Arabidopsis thaliana: one gene and its partners. The protein of the gene in region 3 interacts with the protein of the main gene of each other region in a pairwise test. Each region holds a gene or a part of one and is shown on either strand. Other genes may lie near its edges.

Region 1 (7,127 bases), on a different chromosome or scaffold from region 3:
AAGGGCCTTATCCGTTTCATAAAAACTTTTATTATATTTAATTTGGAGTGTGTCGTACATTCGTAAGTATCTTTAAATCTGTATGCCGACAAAAAAAAAAATCTTAATCTGTATGGCTATATTTGTCTTTATGAATTTATAATATATATCTTATTTTTGTTTGTTTGTACACAAGCAAATACATTTTAAACATTGGTTTCCTTTTTTTATTTCTGAAGTTTCAACTCTTGTTCATTGCGTTGAAAGGTAAATTGCTATCTGATATTTTGTGTGTTTTCAAGAGTAATACATACCTATGATAATATTAAAGCTGATTCTATGTATGCGTAGATGGGATCCAAATGGCATATACATACTACCAGATTATATGATGAAAACCGTCTTTTCAAGCTTGCTTGGGATGTTTTCGAATAGAGCAAAAAAGAACTATCTTAGCTAGTCTACAAGATGTAATTGATGAGTAATAGTATCTTAGCTAGTACCTCACTAATAACGGTCGACATAAAGAGATTATCATAGACATAACATCTTTTTGTATATATGCTCCTAAACATTAAGCAGTTCAAACTATACTCAAAGGCCAACCTTAGCTATGCAGAGTGGGCACAAGGAGACATCGTGCCTACATTCGATGAGTACTTGGAGATTGGTGGTGTTGAGGTGTCAATGTATGTAACTGTTTCATGCAGTTTTCTTGGGTTGGTACAAACTGCTAGAAGAAAAAGTTATGAGTGGCTTAAATCCAGACGGCCAAGTCAGTGAACGAAGTGTACTTGAAGTCAAGGAAGATAATATCAGGCGATATCTTATCACGGGCCACTAATGCTGGAAAAATGATAGATGTGACCTACAGGACCGGTGAAGAATTCACCCATCCACAAGGAAAATTCAAGGACTATATCATCTCTTTATTTGTCAATCTTATTTCTCTTTGAAGATGAAATACCATATAGTGTGAAGTGTTGTGTAACTATTTGCATCTGTAACAAATCCAGATTTTCCAAAGAGAGCCTTTTCCAATAATTAACATATATATTAACCCTTGAGAAAGATCCTGGACTTTCTTCTATTTACAACTATTAATCACTAAGAAAACTTAATGTTATATTCTGTCACATATTTTTCTTCCTTTCGAAAGACAAATGAATATAACATGCACACATAAAAGATAACCTATAATTTATGATGAGTTCTTAGAAGCATCAGGTAAAGCAGGGGATTTGCAAATAGGGCAAGAGTTCTTCATAGACAACCATTTCTTGATGCACCTCCCATGGTAGTCATGACCACACCCCTTAACTTCCCCTAACTCTTCTTTTTCCTTGTACTCCTCCTATTTGTTTACCAATTACCACATCACCCTTAAGTTAGCCTACTTCTAACTTTATAGACACATAATGTTTCAGACAACTAAATCTTACCAGGTTGTGAAAAAAAAAAAAAAAACTAAATCTTACCAGGCAGATTGCACATTTTCTTTGCTCCTCTGTTTGATATGATGGATAATACATTGTTGCTAACAAGCAACTGGAGATTGCGCTGTCGGATAGACCAGTGTTGACACTCCCAATCCTTTCTCCAAGATCAAGGAGTTCCTGCATATATATGTCAGTACCAAAACTTTTCGTTTTGCCTATGTGAGGCTTCAAAAGATAAGTGTTTGGCTATTAACCTCATAGCTCATGTTATCGATGTCAAGCCTCATGTCTCTGTGGTGATCAAGCATGTTTCTGGATCCGTAGTATTGTGGTTGGCGATCTTCAACCATGAATTCCTATTATTACATACACCCCAAAAAATAACAGATTACAGTTCAGCATGCAGCAGAAAATGATAAGATTGCAAATCTATATCTTAATATTCGATATGCACTGTATCATATCGGCTTGATCTTTATCTTAATACTAAATGTAATTTAGACAGACTTCCACTCTAAATAATGCATCTGTAAGGGAAATATATACCTCAGATGAAAACCGTTCGTGGAGAGCAACTTCATCGAAAGGAGGCTGAAACCTCTCATAGGAACTTCTGCGTCTCCCTGGCCGATCACCGCTACGCCATGAAATGTGTGGTGGTGGCCTTAAATGCCTAGACGGATAAGTCTCAGTGACCAAATGAGACCTGTCTCCAGAAGAAGATGCTACATGTCCCGATCGCGAACCGTGTGAAGAAGATCTATAGGTGGATGTTGACCTATGAGAGAAGCGGCTGCTGCTTGTAGATAGTGTTGAAGTTCCAGGAACCCCGTGGGAAACTGTAGGGTTTCTGTTTCCGGTAAGCTCATGGTGATGATAGCCGGAAGTATTAACAGATAAGCTGTTGACAACACTTCTTGCAGGAAGGAAATTATTTGTCTCTGGACTAAAGCCATTTATATCTGCAAAGTGGGAATTAATGTGATTATTAGAAACAAAGACGATTCAGATATCGAGACAAAGTGAACTTTGCATACCTCTAAGAACTGGGGACAATCTAGCACAGTTCCAGTCTTTATTTCCGTGAGATGTCTGACCAGGAAATTGACCTGAGCCATAATGATCAACACTGTGGTGGTGTGTAGAATGAGAATCAAGGCTCAAGCTTCTTGGCAAATTATTTCTACCTAAGCTGGTCTCTGAATCAAGTGTAGGACGACTCCGGACATTCCTTGAAGAGCTCTCTCCCCTGATCGAGAGATTATTACTTCTGTAAGTTGGGTTCATAAGCCATGGCATGTAATGAGGGTCATGATCATGCGTTATTGATTTTCCCAAGTGCAATTCCGAGGGGAAATGAGTGTCTGCAGGAGTTCTGTCACCGTGATATTGGCTTGAACTACCCATTTCATAGATGGAAGAAGGACATGGTCGTTTTCTCTTTTGTGCTCCTCTCACACTTTCCATAGATTGATGATCAACATAACTAGCATTTGACCATGTCTGGCTGTTGTAGCTTGAAGAAGATGCAAATGTCACATAATTCTCATGTGGAGCAGAGAAAGTTGGAACTGTTGAATTCACGGAAGGATCATGGGACGGCCCCGAAACCCCCGGATTGTAGTGTGGTCTCTCCACACTATGACCTGAGTCAGTATAAGCATTTGGTCCTGGAGAAGAGTTCCAATGAGAAGACACTGGCATTCCTTCATTCAACATGTTTTCTGCTGGATAAACATGTGATCTGTTCTCACTGGTCCCAGATGTTGCTGAGAAAATGTGGGATGGACAATAATTAATCAGAAATATGGAACATATTACCCTAAAACTAAACATGCATCATCAACCAAATTTCAATAAATAAAAAACAGATTAAGGAACTATAGAATGAAGGACTAATTACCTTGACTCGAATATGGATGTTCTGGGTGTGTATGATTCCAGCCTTGATCATGTTCATCATCAAAAAACTGGGATGAACCAAGAAAATGTCTGTGCCCCATTAAACCTGCACAAAAATTTCTCTCACCATTCAAAATCCCAGGAAAACATCCGCAAGCTCAGAAAAAAAAAAAATCTATAATTTCCAACCAACATAGTTTACTTTCAGTCTGATAGCCAAATTTCCCAAGTAAATATATAAGAAATCAGTCCATAGTTTCAAGCTCTAGTACCATTACCTTTGTAACATGTACCTACCATATTATATACCTCAGATCTCATGATATCATAAGCAAACAAGTTTTTGTGGACTTAGGCTCTGTGCTGCAGGAAAGTTCATGATGCTTATACATGAAAAATAAACCTTAATAGTACAGATCTTTTAGTTCATAAGAAAAACTTACATAGAAGAGTTTGTCAATAACAACAGACATACTTCTTTTAAACCAAAAGAAAAGAGAGGCAGAAAACAAGCACGGTTGGGAAACTAAGAAGCCTTTGCATTTAAAGTATCACTAAGGTTCTCGACTCTCCAAACCAGAGCCATCAAAAGTGAAGAGTAATACAAGGAGTTCATCAAATTACACACTTTCAAAAAGTCTATAGAATTTACAGAAAAGTCTATAGGAAACTGATTAGGAAATAGAAGAGGATGAAAGAATAAGGCACGATGGCAAATTATCATATACTGTATCCGCATAAAAGAGCATCAGAGCAAGTTCATGCAAAATAGGTAACACTTGATATCATCTTTTCAGTTTCTATCAATGTACTACTTCTTCGTTTATATTCAAGTAAAGGCCTTGTACATGTATTTCACTAAACTTACAACCATAGATGACATGAGCAAGAAAATTACATGGAAAATCCAATAGCAGGACTTAAGCTTAAAATATTTTTCTGAACCGAAACCCTCAAAAGTGCACCTGCAGGCAAATAATCCTAGAAGGATATAGGTTTAGAAAGTCCTAACCACGAATACACTACACTACCCAAGTGATAAAGCCGTCGTGCTTGATTGATCACTGATTCATCATTTCTGCACACCTTTAAAGTAGACCAACAGGAAGCAATTAGGCCCTTGACTTCACTAATACAATGAGAACACCAAATTCTATTCCTTCTCCTCTGATCCACAAATTGAATACACTACAGTTTCCTTAGATAAACGGATTTAGTCCACAAAAGTACTAGCCTGCAAAGGCTTACTACCTCATTTACTATTTCTGCGCTCTTATTGTCTTCAAACCCACCAGCACACCTTAATAGACTCCTGAATTCGGGCTTGTGTGAAAGGATGCTTTCTTAAAATTAGCATTATGTTTCACATCATTGTGCATCCAAATCAAATGCTTGTACGTGACAGCATGTCACTCTAGAAACCATTATATGATAGATGTAGTTTGTTAGGAAGATTGAAGTTCCCCACTCATGGATACCGTACCTCAAGCATCTTCAACTGACTAAACACACTCTGGTACACATGTGATGGCAGAGACTAGTTATGGTTATTTCCTTACCCCTATGGATCAGAATAACTTCTAGATGACTTGAGTTCAAGTTCGCTTTGCTTTCCCAATCAACCAAGAAGGTCCACAACACAATCCGCAAATCAGAATACATCAAGGATAGGCCAGCCACCAATCCTAATGGGCTAACATGAGGAACTAACATCTGTTTGAAATGTGTTATCAATGCAATTTCTTTAAGAATGATGCCATAATTTCAAAGTTTCTAAAAGTTCTCAAAGAGGAAGATGAATTCTGACCTGAAACTATAGCCGTACTAGTTCTCAAATCTTCCAAACACTTGAATCACTGATTAGGCTTTTCTCCAGTTTCTCAACTACCAGAGGTTCGTGGTGGAGAAAGGTATGATAGAACTAGAAACCACCATTGCCACTAAACCTGCAGCCTGCAGGATACAAACCAGCTAAGCCTAGGTTATGCTAATACACTATATCCCAAACTAGCTTACCCGCATCGCTGAAGTAGCAGCCTGAACAACATTATCAACAGCTAACCAAAACACAAAGCTTACAACATCTCCTCTAATCACCGAGCTGGTCTCTTCTCAGTATCGGAATCTTAAAAAGCTAACAACTACGTGAAAGAGAACAAATTCGAAGTCTGAAATTATCAGAACCGACTCCGGTTAACGGACATGATCGCGATCATACCCGAAGATTGTGGGAAAAGTCACCGATGTAGCAGCAAAACCGGGAATAAACCGGATTAAACCGAAAAAAAGAAACAATCCATCATCACACAATCACAAGAGAAAAAAGGAAACAACGATCGGCTTGTTTATACATACCAACACGAAATAATCAGCTCAACGGCGAAACAACAATAATGATCGGAGAAATGAGAAACATTACCAAAGCGTTCCGGCGATGAGAAAAGAAGACCGATCGGAGAAAAGCAAAGAGACGTATGGATTCGTATAGATGACGCAACCTTTTATGAAAAAGAGGTTTTAGAGAGAGAAATATGTTTTGAAGACAAATTGCTTTCTTTTTTGGTGATGGTTGAGCGATGAAGAGTATCGGTTTATATTTAAGAAAAATCAAATTAAAGCGGTTGAGTTACGACGTTGCCGGGACATTAATCCCTTCTCTGACCAACTTCACCGGCTACCGGTAAAACCCGTTCACTGTCTTATTGTCGACTAAACAATTTATTAATTAACTATGGTTCTTCAGTAATGGGCCTATATTTTTGGACTGTACTTGGGCCTCAGCTGTACGTATCAAAAGGGTTCGAGAAACTCAGAGATTAAAGGGATCTTGACCGTTGATCGAGATGACTTTGATTTTATCCATTAATAGTCAATTTGATTGATGAGTTAAGAGGATGATTAAGAAAGCAATAAAGGAAGCGAATCGGAATCCACATTGTATTAATCTTTTTGATCCAGTAGCCATTGGCGAATCCAGGAGTATTAAAGTTCCATTTTGATTTTGGCGACGATGATGAACAGAGTTTAGAGAAATTTGCATTGAAGAAGAGAAGATTTTTGGATTTTGTGTAGTGGGAGAAGGGTAAACCCTAGCTTGGGAGGGACATGATCGGATGCTCTAAGTAGCTTGTGAATTAGAGAAAGAGCAAGTGAGCAAATATGATGAACACTTCGAATGGGATGATCTCTGGGCCTTCTTCTTCGTCAGCTTCGGCGGCGAATCCTCAGTCTCCGGGAATCAAAACGTATTTCAAGACGCCTGAAGGAAAGTACAAGCTCCACTACGAGAAGACGCATCCCTCTGGGCTTCTTCACTACACTCATGGCAAAACCGTTACTCAGGTGAAGATTTGATTCGTTTTCTTTGGTGTTTATTTTTGAATTGAAAGTTTAATCCAATCTGATTTCTTTGCACTTGTGATTGCTATTACGAAATTGCTATTAGGTTTTGTGTAAGAATATCAAATGCACATTTCATTTTTATGTTTTGAAAGTGGTTTCTGAGAATGGATTTGTGAAATTTTGGTGTCAGGTTACTCTAGCTCACCTTAAGGATAAACCTGCTCCATCGACACCAACTGGGACCTCGTCAAGTTCCACAGCTAGTAGCGGTTTCCGGTCAGCAACAGCAAGGTTATTGGGTGGTGGGAATGGTAACCGTGCGCTTAGTTTTGTTGGAGGTAATGGAGGGGCTAAAAATGTGGGTGCAAGTTCAAGGATTGGGGCCTCATTCGCTGCTTCTAGTTCTAATACCTCAGCTACTAATACAAATTTCGATGGGAAAGGAACTTACTTAGTCTTCAATGT
Region 2 (5,452 bases), on a different chromosome or scaffold from region 3:
TTTTTTCCCCTTCAAGTCACATTATGTTGTGCGTTGAGCTGTGTCAATTCAATTCCAATAATCTTTTAGTCTTTCAATCGTCATTATCTTCATTTTGAGTTTAAACCTCAGCCACAATTACCCTATGAAAAGTAATCTTGCTTTTAATTGCTAAATATTCCATTGAGCAACATCAATCATTTTTCCTAGTGGCTAATTGAATGCAATTGTGGAGTTAGTTAAAACTTAAAACTTCTTTCTGAACCATATATATCCACTGTAATGTCAAATCTAAGAAAAGAAGGTTGGTCTAAAATAGAATATAGGAAATTGAAAAATATATTGATACAGTGACACATACATAGAAATAGGTGATCAATGCCGAGATTCGGTAAGGAATTTTGATTAAACATCATGGTATGACTAGTAAACATTGTCATAGGCAGAAAGGGAAAAGTATCACTTCAAATTCATTATATAGTCCAAAACAAGACAAAGACAATCACACATAGACCCTAGGGGTTTCATAGTTCATAGATATGATACCACATGGAATCATAATGTGTATGGAGAAATAATATTGCTTGTAAAGAGAGTCACTTCACTACTATCAAACAAAGACTTTTTTTTATTCCTCATTTCAAAAGTTTGAGCATTCTGTCAAAAAGAATGAACTCAAGCTTCACTTTTTTTTTAAAACTTTTTTCTTTCTCAGGCTTAACTTCAATAGGAAACATTCTCCATCTCCTACCAGCTTTTCCTTTTATTTGAGCCTTTTTTACAGACAAAAAGCAAAAAGGAGAGAAGAAAAAAAGATTACTTCTTTGAATGTTCTCATCAACTTCAGTTCCCATCTCTCTTTATTTTCTTTTGAATCTTTGTAATTATCAAGGTCCCCATTTTCTCATCTACACAAACTTTTACTTTCTCAAAAAGAAAGAGTTAAAAGAAAGCCAAATTAGGGACACATAGAGCTATCCAAGACTCTTGCAGATTTTTCCTGTCTATTTTTGATATAGAATTGTGGTTACTAGGAGGTTCGGTTTCTAGATTATAAACCCGAAACGTTACGATAAACAACATATGATTGCAAGTTATATTTGAGCAATGCCCAAACCAAAAAGTATTCAGTTACAGAATGAGTGTTTCAAGTAGAAAGATACAAAGAGAAAGTTTCTCAAGAACCATTGGAGCTATATATACATTACTGACTTTTTTTTCTTTGAGTTTCCCAAAACTAAGACCAACAAATATGTGCAAGAGTATGACATGAGAAAACACATTTGTATAAGAAAAAAGGGCAAAAGAATTCGATTTGACGGTTTTCAAAAAGAAGAAGAAGAAAGAATCAAACATGGTGTTTAAGTGAAGGGAAGAAACCTCTTTTTCAGTGTTGTTCATCACTACTTTCCACTTTAATCTTTACAAGCTCATGGATAGGTTGTCTACAAATGGGACATTTGTTTGTCTGAAACCTCAGTTCTTCTGCGCAATCACTGCACAAACACTGCAACAGACAACACAACATGATTTAGTCTTGATGACAATTCAACCAAAAAGTTATGGTCTTGTGAAAGACTTGATGTAGATTTGCTTTAGAGACAATCAACAGCAATATGAAGCAAGTCTAAAATGACAGAATTTGCTTGTTCCATAACTGAAACGCTACCAACGATTTATAGGTTTACCGAGTAAATGAAAAAAATTGCGTTTAGAAGAATTGAAGAAAGCAAAGAGAATTGCTAGAAGTTTGTACCAAATGTCTACAAGGCATGACGGCTGTGTCCTTAGGTTCAGTCAAGCAAATGACACATTCTTTGCCACCAGTATCCTCTAACCCCGATGCAGCAGTACCTTGTGTGATTGAATTATCGATTCCATACAACTCTTGTAGTTCATATCGTTCTCCTTCAATCCATAGAATCTGTTTCATGACTTTCACTTTGAAAGATCCATCATTAGTCTTCTCCAAAACCGCTTGAGTGATCTGCTTATGAACTAATGGTTCCTCTGAAACCGAGCTTGGTGATATTACTGTCTCGGCTGATATTACAAGTGGGTACACCTCTTCTGGTGATGGTTTCGATAGATCATCCAGTGAAAAGAAGCCTAGGTCGATTCCTGTCCCTGGAGCTTGTAGAAACTTCTGCCCGGCACCTTTTTGGAAAGGGACTTTGATTGGTGGGAAAGCTTCTGGTAAATGAGGGACGATTGTGCACTTTGATTCCTCTTCTCCAAAAAATATGATAGTGAAACTGAAAATGAGACAAGTAACATAATGAGACTCCTCGTCAGATAATCTTAATACCTAAACTTGGTATGCAACACAGGAGAGTAATAAGGTTGATTCAGTTGCTAACTAGCTTAGTAGTTCCGAACCATTAAATGAACTACAATAACTCCTAAAATCAATCAGTTATGTAACTGAAGCCTGTATTGTTTGGTTTCTGAACCAATCACATATTCATCACCTAGATCATGTCAAATTTTAACCTTTTTCATCCCAAATTGTGGCAACACATAATTCAGAACTGAAACATGAGTAAAGATGTTTCCTTTTAATCAATCTCGTCCCAGCAAAAACCCTAACTTTCACTGAATAAATGAGTCATATCATGTAAAGTTTGAACCTTTACGATCCAAATTTGAGATTCAGTATAATCTACAAGACCCCTCTACGCTAATTAGCCAATCTCATTCAAATTCTGGTTCTAAAGTCGGAAACTTGACTCAAATTTTGGAGTGAAGAAGTTATACCTGCCATCGAATAAGGCATCGAAGACGAAGGAAACAAGATAATGACCAGGGTTAAGATCGTCAGCTACGAGCCTCACCGTAGCTTTATTCACATTGACATCGTTCTTAACCTTCTTAGCGGTCTGATGCTCCACATAAGGTGCAGGCGGTTCCATAACCGCAACCGGAGTCGGACCGAAATAAACCGGCCTCATCATCGGATTAAACCCATTGTGATGATAACCGGTGAAATACGGAGGAGCTTGTTGCGGGTAGTATTGGTTTTGATGGTAGTTTTGACCGTACGGTCGGTAACTAATCTGCGACGGAGGAGGCTGAGAAGAAGACGGTGGCTGAGCCGGTGGTGGAGGAAGAGAGAGCTGTGGAGTTGAAACGGGGTAATTGTGAGAGTAGCTATACCCGTTTTGAGGCGGCGGTTGTTGTGGTGGAGGATCGGAGTAATAGTACGGCGGATTGTGGTGGGGATGGTGGTGGTTGTTGTTGTTGTCTCGTCGACGCTTGCTTAAGGAGATCCCCATAGCCTCTGAAGAAACGAGACAAGAGAGACAGAGAGACGAAAGTCAGATCAAAAGATTTGTCTTCCGGTGAAGATTATTATTTACATTATTTTTACTTTACGCAGTTACTGCCAGATTTACTGCAATTTTTGTAATAAAAGTCAACGCGTGTAACTTTTTTTTTAATCGGATGTTCCCGAAGACATGACCGTCTAACGAAAGAGACAAGACCGTTTCTTCTTGTTCAAATCTAGAAAACACACATACATGACGTTTTTCGAATAGCATTATTGATAGAGAAAAACTATGAAAAATCAACTAATACCTTATGAATTTCAAACGTGGTGTTTTATAGTTGACCACATATATCAACAAGTTCTTAACTTTGAATATTATGTTAGTAAATTATATTCAGATCATTTATAAAAGTTTACAAGTTTTCATCTTAATTTTGGTTTTCTTCCAATTATGTTATTAAGATGAGATTTTAAATAGTCCAAAATAGTTGAGCCAATATCATAAAAGCTAATTTTGGTTATGAATATACCCATATATTCAATTGATGGGTTCAATTTATGCATAACAGATTCTGTGTATAATAAATATACCTTTAGTCGTATTCAACAATCTTCATTGAATATTGGTTTAGGAGATTTTTAAGATACCTGTAACATTTTTAGGTCATAGATATGTTTAGAATGCTTGTGAATGTCAACAAAATATCTGATTAGCTGGAGCAATTAGAAACTCAAACCAAAATCCATTTAGTTTCTTTTTATTCATCCAATATTTTAAATCTCTGTGAACTAATAATTACATCTCAAAGTTACTAAGAAAAATAACTTTTTAAAAATAATTTTTAATCTATGTTATTATTATACAAACCAAGAAAACTAAGCTTTGTATGTTAAAATAAAGATTATACAAAGTAAGTATTCATCATCTTAATTTTAATGACTATGGTTTACTTGGTCTTGAGGTTGTTGTGCATCTATCTTTATCAAGAGAGGCTCATTTAAATCCGTCGAAGCATCATCAGTAACGGTCAGCTCCGGCAAGGCTGCAACCGCTTCGTTCATGTCTCCTCCGTGCTCTGCTAAAGCTTTTCTTAGAGCGTCCTTCGCCACCTTTGTAACACACACCATTAATATCACTGCAAAGAAACAGATAGAAGAAGGAACTTGTAACATTAGTGATTCTGCCGCAATCGAAGGAACTAGTAACATTAGTTATGCCGAACTAACCGGATATTACAAGGCTCGAAATCAAGAACGCCTGCAGATTGCGGAAAACAGGTCAGAATAGAGATTGAAACAAGAAGCTGAGAATGTAATTAAAATTTGTGTAGATCTTACCCAGCGACCTGGCGAGAACTCGCTCCACTTGTGAGTTACATCAGAAAGGTCTTTTAGAGTTGTTCCAACATACACTAACGCAAGTGTTATTGGCTGCAAATTAACAATGTATCAAGCTGTATTATTTCCATCTTACAATTTAAACATTTTGCAGTCGTTATGAAGTGGTGGATTAGAATAGATTACCATCATCCCTAACCACGAAGAAAGCAAGTATGGACCTAGCCGAATTGGCGTGACAGATAAGAGGTAGTTCAACATGCTGAACGGAAGAAGAGGAGCAAGCCGGAGCAACAAGCATATCTATATTCAGTTTTGCATATTCATAAGTTTCAAAAGAAGAGTGTCAGCACAAAACTTGTAATGGGTTCTCAGTGCAAACCTTGAAGCCGGATTTCTCTATCGCGAGTGCCACTGATTGAAACTGAGGATAATCCTTTAATTTTGCAACTACAAAAGGTTTTCCAATCTGCATAAGAGCATTTTCATGTAAGTACCAAAATATCAAAAAAGGATAGCGTCAGTGGTTTATGCATGTCACTTCATTAATCTAATGGTTGTGTCTGCAAATCAATAAGAATTTGAGTGGCTTACCGTACGGCCTAGTAGAAATGCAGCTCCTGAGCCAAGTGTAGCACCGACTGAGTCCGCCACAAAACCAATTGGCAGCCCAAAAAGGTAGCCACCACCGAGCTGAATATATCACAGCTTCAACCAAATAAGATTTCTCAATTTTATAGATAAACCAGTCACTCTAACAAAGAAAGTTGAGAGTGGATGATAGCGGTAAATATATCACACACAAAAGAAATATGTATATATACCGTGAGAACCGAGGCAGGAACAGCCAAAACTGTTAGAGGA
Region 3 (4,542 bases):
CCGGGTACACAAGGCCGAATTGAAGCTCCGGTCCAAGAATTTATGGGAGGTTCCACACCCATGGCTCAACCTCTTCGTGCCAAAATCAAGAATCTCTGACTTCGATAAAGGCGTTTTCAAGGGCATTTTGGGAAATAAAACAAGTGGCCCTATTCTTATCTACCCCATGAACAAAGACAAGTAAGTCTTGACATTACCATTGATTACTACTTCTAAATTTCTTCTCTAGAAAAAAGAATAAAACGAGTTTTGCATTGCATGCATGCAAAGTTACACTTGTGGGGATTAATTAGTGGTCCAAGAAAAAAAGTTTGTCAAAATTGAAAAAAACTAGACACGTGGTACATGGGATTGTCCGAAAAACGTTGTCCACATGTGCATCGAACCAGCTAAGATTGACAACAACACTTCGTCGGCTCGTATTTCTCTTTTTGTTTTGTGACCAAATCCGATGGTCCAGATTGGGTTTATTTGTTTTTAAGTTCCTAGAACTCATGGTGGGTGGGTCCCAATCAGATTCTCCTAGACCAAACCGATCTCAACGAACCCTCCGCACATCATTGATTATTACATTAATATAGATATTGTCGTTGCTGACGTGTCGTAATTTGATGTTATTGTCAGATGGGACGAGAGGAGCTCAGCCGTGACGCCGGATGAGGAAGTTTTCTATCTGGTGGCTCTATTGAGATCAGCTTTAACGGACGGTGAAGAGACACAGAAGCTAGAGTATCTGAAAGATCAGAACCGTCGGATCTTGGAGTTCTGTGAACAAGCCAAGATCAATGTGAAGCAGTATCTTCCTCACCACGCAACACAGGAAGAGTGGGTGGCTCATTTTGGGGACAAGTGGGATCGGTTCAGAAGCTTAAAGGCTGAGTTTGATCCGCGACACATACTCGCTACTGGTCAGAGAATCTTTCAAAACCCATCTTTGTCTTTGTTTCCTCCGTCGTCGTCTTCTTCGTCAGCGGCTTCATGGTGACACAGGACAAAACCAAGAGGAAAGTAGTAGTTGAGAAATATTCTTCCTGATGTATATATATGACCTAATAGAGAAGCATCAGAGAGATTAGGTTGGGTCTTTTGTTAGTAGGGGTTTTAAAATTAGAGTAGAAGATTCAAAATTAGTCAAATTTATTGTGTTGTTTTTATACATCACGGATTTTGGAAATGGGTTTGGGACAGCTTAAACCCAATTAAATTAAAAATAGACAACAAACCTCAAAGACTGTTTTGGACTATTTTACATTTTTTTTGGTTGATCGAGGTTTATACTTTATCGTCGTGGAACCACCATCGGGTCTCCTTTGGAGATCTTCCGTTCTTACAATTCTTCACATATCGGTCATTATCGGTTGGTCGTTGCTGCAACAAAACAAGCCAAGCGAGACGAAGGTTCAGCTTCAGCAACAAAGAGATCAAAGTTTATATATTAATGGTGAGTGTAAGAGCTGTAAGTACCTTTTCAGTCGAGCTTGAGAGCATGGAGAGGATGCTAATGCAGATAGAACTCACCGTCATGGCTGGAGACCACGAATCATACAAAATATCTGCAACGATGATACACAACATCAGATACTTCTTCCAGGAGGCCTATGTTAAATAATAAGCTACTGAAATTTGAGTGTACCCTTGGATCTAAAAGCAAAATCTCAAGCAATATGAGTTTCGAAGAGGGTCTTATCTTCGGGTAAGACTTCAAATGAGTTTAGGTATACAAACGACTTATGTTACCTCTCACATTGTGATTATTAATATATTAGAGATCATACAATATAGGAGTTGTGTGTTTATCATTCGGACCACATAGTATGACCAGCAAGTAAAGAAAGTGATAGATAATAACCAACAAAAGAGTAAGAAGGTATCAGAAAACAGAGGACACAGTGACATACCTAGACAAATATGCCCATTGCTGTAAATGTGAGGATGCAGAGGAGCTGGATGAAGAAAAATCACCTGTACAATATTTAAAAAAAAAAAAACATTACAAACGCAAACAAGAAGTAAAGAACAGAGAACTCAAGTCAACTCGAGACAGATCAAAACATTCCATGACAAGGCAGAGACCAAACTCGGTAAAGATCAAGACAATCAACAATAAAACAGAGACCAAACTTGATAAAGATCAGAGATTCTATGATTGATCTAAATTAAGTACTCAGGTTACAATTTCAGAATTCAGAACACTCACTTGTGGCGATTCCATAGGATAATGTTCTGGAAAATCAACTTGAAGCTGATAAGTATCGTTGGCATATAGAGTTCCTGGAGCTCCAATAACTTCAATTATCCATCTGCAAACCATTGAATTTGACATCACAAAATTTCTAAATCTTATATGATTCTCAACAAGAATAAAGTAAACCTAATTCATAATTTACCTTTGGAGATTATCAGTGACTTTGTGTTTGAAACCAGTAGGTGGATTCATCTGCCATTCCACAAGCTCTTTCTGAAGACGATTAGTCGCGATCTTACTCAGAGTCTACATACACACACAGTTTCCCAAAATATAGTCAAAAACCCTAATTCCAAAACCAAAGTTAAATAAACAGAGCAAGTGAGAGAGAGAACCTTGCGTGAAGGAGCACCAGAACTTGACATGGAGAGAGTAAAGGAGACAATCAAAATCCTCTTGGAGAAGAAGAAGGAAGGAAGGAAGGCTCGAGGAAGAATCGAAAATCGAAGGGTTCAGATTTGTGGGACCTTTCAGATTGATGAGATCTTAATGATCAGATGATATTCAGATTGGAAGGTGGTATCTAGGGACGGTAAAGATCATGCCACGTGTACTGTTTTGTGCTTTTTAGATCCACGACCGTTTCGTACTTTCGTGTATTTGTGTCAGGGAAGCAGCCAGGATTGCTGGATTTTGCTGCGTGAAACGGTCCAGGGGTATAATTGTAACTTTCAATATTTTGTGTGTTACCATTTTCATTTTCGGCTTAACTAATTATGAATCAACCAACCACTAACCCAAATTATTTATATAAAAATCTTATCACAAAATGATTTATATATTCGGTAACAACAGAACATTAAAAAAATAAGGTTTTTCGATAGTTCATCCGACAGAAAGATAGTCGAAAAATACCAAACTCAAGCATGGAAAGAAAAAGAACTAAATTAACTTGTTCTTGTGTTGTGCCTAATTCGAGGAAGTTATGGACTTAAGTCTAGAAATTTTGGTTACAGAATTCTATAAATTATGGTAATGAAAACTATATCTTTCTGCTTTTTTTTCTCATTTTATGAAAACTATTTGTTGACTACATAATAAACGATCAAAAATTATATGTAGTACTAGTTGAATAAAATAAATAGAAGCTACGGATAGGTCAAAAGTCGAAGACTCGAAGGCCCATTGGATGTGTTATAGCAAGTTGATATGTAAGACTAAAAAAGCCAAAGCAATGTCCTCAAGATCTTTGCAGTGTCTTTTCAACATCTACGAGTTGTCCTAATTAGCAGCTACTATCAACGAATATATACACATAATACTCTTTAAAGTTTTCATGCTCCTTTGCCTTTATTATTCTGAGTTCAGTAGCAGACAAAAATCTCTGAAATTCCAATAAATAATAGCAATCATGAAAATCATATATATAAAAGTTGGCCAACTCTCTCCCTAGGAGTGACACATCATCACATAAGAAAATAACATGTGTCATTCTATATTAATTAAAAAAAATTAATAGAATTAATTGAGGAAAAATCAAAAGTCTTTTGTTGCATTAAATTCTCTATAATCTCTCTTTTAAATAAATTTTCTTAAAACATTCAATAAATAAAAAATTATAATAATATATCAAATACTACTTTCATTTTATTCTACTTATTTTTAAAAATATTTTTATCAATAGTTATCAATTTATAATAGCTAAAATCTACTTTGTGTTGTAGTTTAAATGTTTGCTACCTAACCTCATATTAAATAGTAATTTTAGTTGGATATTTTTTTATTATTACGTTATATGAATATGATTTATCATATGACCTTCTTTCTGTTTCTTTTTGTGCATTCTGATAACTTGGTAACACTGATATACATTTTTCACGTAATGTTCATCCGAGACATTAGACATATCCACACAAAAAATACGAGACTCTATATGGCTATATTCAAGGGACGAGAATTAAAGTGTTGACTTGAATTACTAGCATATCATGGTGTGGTTAGTGTACTAGATAACGAGAGAATATATGGAATAAAGAATTGTTTGTTACAATTAAATTAGGCAAGTTTTAAAATACATAAGTAATATAACTATATATTAATATATCATATAATTTTGTTGTATGTATTTATGATAGTGAAATATTTGAAGAATAGGTCTATAAATATTTATATTATAGTAAAATTGATATTTCGAATTATAGATAAATTTAATTATAAAAAATTATAATTCTATAAAATAGATATGACTTTATTACTTACACATTAACACACACACAAAAATGAACATCAAAATCAACAAAAGATCATAATCATATATTCCGACAATTTTAAAAACAAAAACCCATGCGTAGGATGAG

Evidence for each region.
Region 1: the proteins of UBC16 (region 3) and AT2G37150 interact in a two-hybrid assay, tested with the Arabidopsis thaliana proteins (one large-scale study listed by BioGRID).
Region 2: the proteins of UBC16 (region 3) and LUL3 interact in a two-hybrid assay, tested with the Arabidopsis thaliana proteins (one large-scale study listed by BioGRID).

Annotation. Positions count from the first base shown.
Region 1 is NC_003071.7:15,602,568-15,609,694, forward strand, and holds AT2G37150 (RING/U-box superfamily protein), read right to left. Parts: upstream 5,034-7,127; coding exon 4,880-5,033; exon of another isoform or gene 3,642-4,879; coding exon of another isoform or gene 3,599-3,641; exon of another isoform or gene 3,427-3,598; coding exon 3,322-3,426; intron 3,188-3,321; coding exon 2,456-3,187; intron 2,381-2,455; coding exon 1,965-2,380; intron 1,775-1,964; coding exon 1,673-1,774; intron 1,596-1,672; coding exon 1,458-1,595; intron 1,334-1,457; coding exon 1,181-1,333; 3' UTR 1,014-1,180; downstream 1-1,013. Other genes in the region: AT2G37140 (Terpenoid synthases superfamily protein), read left to right, coding at 296-415, 559-762; AT2G37160 (Transducin/WD40 repeat-like superfamily protein), read left to right, coding at 6,480-6,662, 6,766-7,127.
Region 2 is NC_003076.8:6,376,202-6,381,653, reverse strand, and holds LUL3 (RING/U-box superfamily protein), read right to left. Parts: upstream 3,506-5,452; 5' UTR 3,255-3,505; coding exon 2,737-3,254; intron 2,235-2,736; coding exon 1,736-2,234; intron 1,487-1,735; coding exon 1,367-1,486; 3' UTR 1,049-1,366; downstream 1-1,048. Other genes in the region: AT5G19070 (SNARE associated Golgi protein family), read right to left, coding at 4,184-4,386, 4,478-4,508, 4,589-4,681, 4,775-4,891, 4,971-5,057, 5,183-5,281, 5,413-5,452. UniProt on the Arabidopsis thaliana protein: Acts as an E3 ubiquitin-protein ligase, or as part of E3 complex, which accepts ubiquitin from specific E2 ubiquitin-conjugating enzymes and then transfers it to substrates (in vitro).
Region 3 is NC_003070.9:28,311,691-28,316,232, reverse strand, and holds UBC16 (ubiquitin-conjugating enzyme 16), read right to left. Parts: upstream 2,855-4,542; 5' UTR 2,611-2,854; coding exon 2,581-2,610; intron 2,492-2,580; coding exon 2,388-2,491; intron 2,301-2,387; coding exon 2,198-2,300; intron 1,963-2,197; coding exon 1,899-1,962; exon of another isoform or gene 1,554-1,898; coding exon 1,465-1,553; exon of another isoform or gene 1,369-1,464; coding exon 1,273-1,368; 3' UTR 1,111-1,272; downstream 1-1,110. Other genes in the region: CKX5 (cytokinin oxidase 5), read left to right, coding at 1-180, 625-985. UniProt on the Arabidopsis thaliana protein: Accepts the ubiquitin from the E1 complex and catalyzes its covalent attachment to other proteins.